Nothobranchius furzeri: one gene and its partner. The protein of the gene in region 2 purifies or fractionates together with the protein of the main gene of each other region. This does not show direct contact. Links are inferred from orthologs where the notes say so. Each region holds a gene or a part of one and is shown on either strand. Other genes may lie near its edges.

What was found.
Region 1: the proteins of smc2 (region 2) and ncapg2 purify together in Homo sapiens (affinity purification with western blotting; 4 studies listed by BioGRID and IntAct, with this or other methods). This does not show direct contact. The link is inferred for Nothobranchius furzeri from reciprocal best matches to the Homo sapiens genes SMC2 and NCAPG2.

What each region holds. Positions count from the first base shown.
Region 1 is NC_091747.1:47,249,619-47,253,859, reverse strand, and holds the start of ncapg2 (condensin-2 complex subunit G2), read right to left. Parts: upstream 3,007-4,241; 5' UTR 2,922-3,006; intron 2,696-2,921; 5' UTR 2,691-2,695; coding exon 2,613-2,690; intron 1,809-2,612; coding exon 1,641-1,808; intron 1,510-1,640; coding exon 1,395-1,509; intron 1,227-1,394; coding exon 1,069-1,226; intron 994-1,068; coding exon 862-993; intron 792-861; coding exon 697-791; intron 617-696; coding exon 460-616; intron 390-459; coding exon 297-389; intron 224-296; coding exon 98-223; intron 32-97; coding exon 1-31. UniProt on the Homo sapiens protein: Regulatory subunit of the condensin-2 complex, a complex which establishes mitotic chromosome architecture and is involved in physical rigidity of the chromatid axis.
Region 2 is NC_091747.1:76,181,454-76,185,267, reverse strand, and holds part of smc2 (structural maintenance of chromosomes protein 2), read right to left. Parts: intron 2,841-3,814; coding exon 2,702-2,840; intron 2,622-2,701; coding exon 2,502-2,621; intron 2,423-2,501; coding exon 2,218-2,422; intron 2,111-2,217; coding exon 1,975-2,110; intron 531-1,974; coding exon 406-530; intron 323-405; coding exon 129-322; intron 30-128; coding exon 1-29. UniProt on the Homo sapiens protein: Central component of the condensin complex, a complex required for conversion of interphase chromatin into mitotic-like condense chromosomes.

The DNA of each region.
Region 1 (4,241 bases), about 29 Mb from region 2:
GTACGGTGGGGTGAGGGTCATCAAGGAGGCTCTGGAGAGGACGCAGACTGTTACTCTGATACCATATCCCTCCACGAGTCTCTTAGAGAATCCCTACCATTGCTGTGTCCAGCTGTTTCTGGATGTTTGTGTCTATTTCCGTGTTGGTTTGGTCTGGGTCGTGGATCGGGAAGGCCTCGGTGAAAAGCAAGGTGGCGTTTGCGCGTACCTCAAAGTTTGGAACCTGAACAAATCAAGCAGACGTCAGAAAACAAACTCACCTTAAATCAGTACAAACTGTGTTTATGTCGGCATACGCTCAGAGCTTTCCAGAGTATCGGCTTGTACAGATCAAACAGCATCTTGTCCACGCTGTGGCAGCCCTTCCTGGAGTGAAAGTAGCTCATAATCTACAAGAACGAACAGAAAGTTAGACGTGAATGAGGGTTAAGCGTTTAAAAAGCTTATTTAACATCCTACCTGTCGGACTTTGGAGTGAACAGGAGATGCTCGATGGAGAACGATGGCGTTCTGCATAAAGTCCTGAATGCAGGAGTTCTCGATCTTTTCCAGGAAGGCCCCGCTAGCTTTCTTCCAAGCTCTGAAGTAGATCTCTGAAATCTGAGAGATCATGCCTCTGGAAAAAAGGGGAAAATCAGACGAAATCGAAGTAGATTGTAAACCCAATAGAAGCTGAGACTAACTTAGGCTTCATACTTGTTGTAAAACTGGAGCTGGTTCTTGATGGTTCCATGAATAACCCAGATGAAATCCACATTCCAGCTGAAAAGAAACACAAGGAATCGCTTTCCCTGTGAAGATAAACACATCATCAGGACAGATCATGGACAGAGGCAGGCGACCCTAATCCGCTCGACTCACGTCGTCGTTTCTGATGTACGTAGGATGCTGGACGCACTGGAGCAGCAGGTCGGTGAGCTGCTTGTTGTCCAACTCGTAATCCAGAGTCAGGAGCACTTTGTGGAGACTCCACACTCGCTGGATCTCAGCCCCCTGAAAACAAAAACGAGCTGCAAATGAAATCAGGTCTCAGGAGGAATGGGAAATGTGAAAGCAGGATGAACGAACCGGTTTCTGTAAGGTGAAGCTCTTCTGCAGAGAGATGAGAAAGGTCACATGGCCAAACTTCTCTCTCTCCTGCAGCCCTTTCTTCCACCACGCCTCAAACAGAGTTTGTATGTGGAGCTGCAAATGAGCTTGCGACTCGGGGAGTGACACCAAAACATCTGATAGGAGAGACAAAACAAAAACCCCAGAAAGATGGAGCTAATGTTGATTCAACTGGATTTAGGATTATCTAAGCGCGATCGGGGGGGGAGATGTTTCTTAAAACTCCCAATTAATTTGTTAAATCTGAATATGTTAGACTGGATTAAGTTTTTAAAAACACTCACCATGAAGCCTGTGGGCAATCTGCAAAAGTGCGTCGTAGGTGTCACCGTCTTGTAAAACCTTCAGGGACGTCGTAGCCACTAACGTCACACCGTCCACAACAGCTACGACTTGTTTCTGTAGGAAAGGTTTTGGGGAAAATATCTAAAACTAAGATCTCCCCAAAAGGTTTTTCACACTCTATAGCCATAGCTTCCTAGATCAAAGCCTGCTATCAGGAATCTCCTGCTACGACTGAACAGACTCACGGGATCCGGAGCCGACTCCTGCTGCATGTGCTCCTCCCAGCGCTGTGGAGGTAACTCCAGCAAGACGTCCTGCAGGAGGGTCTCCAGCCTCCTCCACAGAGCCAGCCTCTGCTCTCTGGACATCTCCTGCACCACCTCCTCCACATCAAAGGGCTCCGTTTTGTCCTTCTGCTCAGAAAGACGCACAGATTTATTATCTCAGCCACAGATTTCCTGGAAGCACATACCCAGAAAGCCTCCATGTTTACAAAAAGCGTCCCCGCCTTGGCCTGATGTTGTATTAAAGATCGTTGGAGGTATTTAATTTCATCAAAATATTTGAATATTTTGAGACTTAAAGACACAATATTTTAAAACTAATAACTAAATGAACTGCAGATAAATGGACGTTCAAGCTCCTTCGTTTATTAAGACCCTGTTTACCAAATGATGTACTTTGGTCCCTGGATGGAGGCTTATCTCCTCTTTATCCCATTGAACGAGCTCAGAATTTGGTTTGTGAGGAGGACATCATCATTTTTGCCCAAATAAAAACTTTCCTTTATTGGCGTAAACTCAGATGAACCGGATTCATCCCCCTAACAAAGCCCCAACGGACCCAGGCTACTGCAGATGTCTCATTTTGTATCAAATAGAAATCAATTGTGTGTATTATGGGATGTTGTGCAACAAAAATGCAAATAAGGTAGGACTTTAAATCCAATTAGACGACAATAATTTGTAGTTTTACTGTGAAAAATCAATAAAAACACACTTAACACTAGAAATGTCTATTTAATTTCGCTATTTTAAATTATACAATTTTTAAAATAAAAAAACAGGTTTTTTTTCAACTAAAGCAACTTTTATGCGTTTGTTTCTTGCGTCTATGTCCAGAATTTAACTTATTATTTTAATAATTCTTATAACACGAGTCATGAAATCGCCGAGCAAACAAAACACCATCTTTGTTAATGAACAGTAGCTACTTACATGAAGCTGAATAAAACGAAGGAAGTCCTCCACGTTTTCCTTGCAGACGCCGTCTAAAAACGCTTCTCGCTTGGACATGATTCCTGGTTCCAAAGTGACCCAAAACGTAGAAGAAAGTCCAGAAACATTAGTTTCTGCTTCCAGCAGATTCTATTACTATACCAAAACCAAAACAAACATGGCTGCCCGTGAAACGTTAGCAAAAAATGCTTTTTACTCATTTAAAACACCACACTTATCAAAAATCGTCGAAAAAAGTAATACAATGATGAAAAACGAGGAATAAAACCCATTCACGCGATCGATTACCTTTTAATTAATGTTTTCAGGATTCACGACAGGGATATGGCATTCTACTGCCGCAGCTGCATACCCGCGCAAATTTGGATGGAAAGTTTACGTGCTGACGTTAAAACGTTCCTGACGCTGCCTTCGCTACTGTCCCGACAACACTAACCACTTGATGGCGACAAAACACCACAAATAAAACCTCTGTCTGTATGACATCTGTGATGGTCTTCACCACAGACATCATAGACGCCCCGTGGACTGGAGAAGGCTGTGGGTTTGAGTCCTAAGTGGCCCCAAAACTATGTCAGCAAATAGAAAGGTAAGCGCAAAAATTTGAGTTAGTTGGTGTTTGTGTTGATGCTGATTTATGGAGCTAACCCTCCCTCTACAGCTCTGACAGAACCCTGCCCTCCTCTCCCAATGATTGGACAGGAATTCGAGAAACGTGATTGGTAGCTAAGACTCATGCTCTCATTGGTTCCACCCAAGTTCCTCCCACTGACGCTAGAATAGAGACAAAAAGATCTGCTGTAGATTTGAGGTTTGTACCTGTATAATGAAATGTGTGTTTTGAGAGTTTTGATTTCAAACTTGTACCTTGATTTTTTTCAATTTGGAAGTCTGCTAGTTACAAAACGAAAGTTTCATGTTTCTGAATGAATGTTTGATGTTACAAAATGAGTAGTAAATGTACAAAATAAAAGTTTGATTTTACAAAATAAAAAAGACATGTACAAAATGAAAATTTCCTGTTACAAAACAAGAAATACAAGTACAAATTGAGAATTACAAGTTAGAAAACTAAAGTTACAAGTTACAAATCCAAAGTTACATGTGATGAAGTTCGAAGTTACAAAACTTGGTACAAGTTACGCTGAATATTGTCCCAATCCTAGCTCCATACTGATTGTAGATGCAGCCACCTCCATTCCACACATGGAGACATGACTTGACGTGGATGCAGAGGATGGACGGGCGGGTGGATGCCTCCCTTCCTGATTAATATCCGACTGAAGTAGCAATGCATTCAAATTATTGTTTTTAATTTAGCTGTTTTTTATTTGTAATTGTATGTTGCCCGCAGGCATCTATTGTCCTATTTGTATAGCACCTTCTTAGGGTTGTAAAAATAAATAAACACTATTGAAAACAGATCACTTGAGATTACTATTGACCTTTCTAACCTACCAGTTGGTGTTTCATATTTGTATTTATATTATTAAATTATATTCATATTTCTAATTAACAGGTCATACCACATGTCTGGCTTGTGAAAATGCATCATAAATGTGTTTTAGTTGGGTATGCACCTTCCTCAGTAGATACAAATCCACTAGG
Region 2 (3,814 bases):
TCCAGCTCCAGAGCCACAGCATCAGACTCCTGAGCAAGAACACAGATCAGAGAATACTCAACATGTATCAAGACACGATGGACACCAGATCCTTCAGATGAGACTTTTTAAATATTCCACCATCACACCTGCTGTTTCTGCTTTAACTTGGTACTGAAGGCATCAGCTTTGGTCTTGGCTGCGTTGAGTTTCTGCTGGGCGGCCTTCAGCTCCTTCTCCCTCTCAGCCTCGGCGTTTCTCATTTTGTTCTCCAGCACCTTGTATTTCTCCTCGGCCCGCTTCTGGACCTCTTTGGTGACTCGTAAGGTCTCTTCGCTCTCCTCTGGTCAGACAAACACACACACATTTCTTTAGCACAAAACCATCCAGAGTATTTCAGCCAAGGAGAAAACTTTGAGCGCTAACCGATGGCTTTGCGAAGCCTCTCCAGCTCCTCTTGCTGCTGGTGGAAGGAGCTCTGCTGCACTTTAGCCAGCAGGATCTGTTCCTCCTCCGCTTTGAGCTCGTGCTCCTGCTTCAGCTGTCGGTACCTGCAGGGAGCGCATTATGACGGAGAGAGAGGATTACATTAAAGAGAGGTGATCATCTTATTTTACAATTTAAATAAAAGTGAAGCGTCTTTGGTTGAATCTTCTCAACAACGTTATGTGCCGCCTCGTGCAATATTATCAGACCTCACAGCATCTGTGATGGGGGTGACTCCCAGCTTACTAACTTACCAGCTTGCTTCTCACACCAAACCTTCTGTCAGGAATCTTGGTGGGACCTTTGACCCAGCTCTCACCCTGGATTCTCATGTCAGTTCTCTTGTTCGCTCTTCCTTCTTGCATCTCAGGAACATTGCTAAGCTGAGTCCCATTCTGTCCCGCTCTGAACTTGAGACAGTTCTCCACACCTTCATCTCCTCACGCTTAGACTACTGTAACTCTCTTTTCACGTGTCTGAGCAGAACCTCCCTGAACCGTCTACAGGTGGTTCAGAATGCCTGTGCTCGGCTTCTGACCAAGTCCTCCAAACACACCCACATCACCCCGCTTCTCCTCCAGCTTCACTGGCTGCCAGTCAACTTCAGGGTTCATGTCAAGATCCTGGTTCTGGTCTATAGGGCCTTACATGGACAAGCACCATCTTACATTGGTGATCTTCTTAGTCCCTACACCCCCAGCAGGTCCCTGAGGTCCAGTGATCAAAGCCTACTGGTTGTGCAGCACCAGGCTAAAGATTAAAGGTGACAGATCATCTGCTGCTGTGGCCCCCAGACTCTGGAGCTCTCTCCCCCTGAGCCTGAGATCAGTGGACTCAGTGGTCTCCTTTAAAAAGCAGCTGAAGACTCACTTGTTCAAGCTGGCTTTTGTATGACCTTCTTCACCTCTCTCTCTCTATTCTGCTCCTCCCACCTATTCCACCTTCCTCAGGATCCACTGATCTCCCTCTTTCCTATTCACTCTCTCTTTCTTTACATTTTTTCTTTTAAATCCCAATTGCCTATTCTTGCTCATTTTAAATATATTTTTAAACATTTTCTAAATGCTTTTTTTATATTTTAACATTTTTTTGTTTTTGTGAAGCGCCTCGTGATTTTTATCTTGAGAGGCGCTATAGAAATGATATTTTCGGGTGGGATGGAGGGGATTCTTGGGGTGGGGAAGGGGGTTGATGTATTTTGTTCTGTTTTAATCTGAAATTCATAATAAACATATTTGAAAAAAAAAAAGAAATGATATTTTCTTCTTCTTACGCACCGCATTTACAGTCAAAATCTGTAAACCTGACGCGAGTTGTAGCAGCTCGTGTGTTTGGTCAGCCGAGGCGACCGTCTAAATCTGCGTCGACTCCAAAAGTGAATCAGTCATAGATCCGTTAATTACGTCCTAAAAGTTTAATTTTCTAGGGGCTCGCGAGGTATTTTTGTACACACGCACACGCACACACACACACACCAAAAACATTGTCCCTTTCAGATATTCAGCGTACTTCTCAGCGGTTCCCTTAAGGCGGGCCAGTTCCTGCTCTGTTCCCTGGAGTTGAGCCTCTTTGTTGTTCAGGTTGTCCTGAACGTCCTTTACCTCCTGCAGGCTGGACAGAACCGACGCAGACTGAGAGCGAGCACCTGGACGACAAAACAGAGGAGTTGTTTTTACAGATGCACGTGAAGAAATACAAATCTGACCAACTAGAACTCTAAACATCATCTCTCCGCCATTTCGTCGTTCTCACCTCCACTCAGAGTTCCCTGTGGGTCGAAGATGTCCCCTCCAAGGGTAACCGTCTTGGTCAGCACCTGCTTATCAAAAGCCACTTTTTTGGCGTTGTCCAAAGTGTCACAAACCAGCGTGGAGCCAAACACGTACTCCATGGCTTTACGCAGGTCAGACTCATAGCCAACGAGAGACAGAGCCGTGTGAACGTTATCAGCGCCAACCTGGTAGAAGAAAACAAACGATAGATTAGAGCATAGATTAGATAATCCCAGATTTCTCCGCTCACGCCAGTTGTCCCACCAGTTTCTTTGCTGTGGTGATGACTTTGTCATTGAGCGTCTTGGCAGAGATCTTGTTCAGGGGGATGATGGTGTACCGCCGCTGCAGCTCCCCTTTCTCCAGCAGCTTTTTACCCGTCACCTACAGAAAAAACCCAAATCGGAGTCAACCCCCAGCTCACACAGGGGCTCATCGTGACGCCGCATCAAACACAATCCCACCTCAGTGTCGACAACGATGTTATAGAGCCGTCCGCCTGCCACCACCTCCAGAGCCGTGGCGTAAGTGACGTCGCTGACGGAGATCAGGTTAGCGAGCAGACCTTTCACCTTAGCGCGGTCCCACCCTTGCTCTGGATCTCTGAGACAGCAGGCAGACATAAACGAACACTCAGCCACCTCTCACTGACATTCTCGTGCAAAGCCTAATCTCTGGTGATAACATAGTAATTTTAGAAAAATGAAGAACAACCCAAAACCCAGGAAATGGCCTTCTAAAGGACTTTTCCCAATGCAAGTAAAGTCTCTTCACATCTCTCTGCAAACAATCAGATTCACCTCTCCCTAAAAAAAGATGTTTACATGTAAATAAATGATGTAAATGCATGGATGGAACTGAACTTCATGAGGTTTAATCTGACATCTTCATCTCTTCTACCAGGTTGGCGCTGATAACGTTCACACGGCTCTGTCTCTCGTTGGCTATGAGTCTGACCTGCGTAAAGCCATGGAGTACGTGTTTGGCTCCACGCTGGTTTGTGACACTTTGGACAACGCCAAAAAAGTGGCTTTTGATAAGCAGGTGTCCATGCTGTCGAGAGCCCACCTGGAGCGGGTACTGCATGCCTTTGTTATTTCTAGGCTTGATTATTGCAGCTCTCTCTATGCAGGGTTGTGTCAGTCATCACTGCGTCGCCTACAGGTTGTGCAGAACAGCACAGCCAGGTTCCTGACTGGGACCAGGAAACTGGACCACATCAGTCCGGTTCTGGCCTCCTTGCACTGGCTTCCGGTTTGCTATCGTTCACAATTCAGACTCCTCGTCTTTGTTTTTAATTTCTTCCAGGGTGGTGCTCCCCCCTATCTGGCCTCACTCCTGAACAGACATTCCCCATCACGCGCTCTGCGCTCCTCTGACCAAGGCCTGCTCGCTGTCCCTCGTTCTAGGTGTCGTACCCGTGGGGACCGGGCTTTCTCAGTCCTAGCACCGTCACTCTGGAACCAGCTGCCACCCTCAGTTAGGCTGTCCCCATCTCTGCCAGTCTTCAAGAGTCGCCTAAAAACACACCTCCTCCGCTTGGCGTTTCCTGAATGTATTTGAGTTAGGCCGTCATT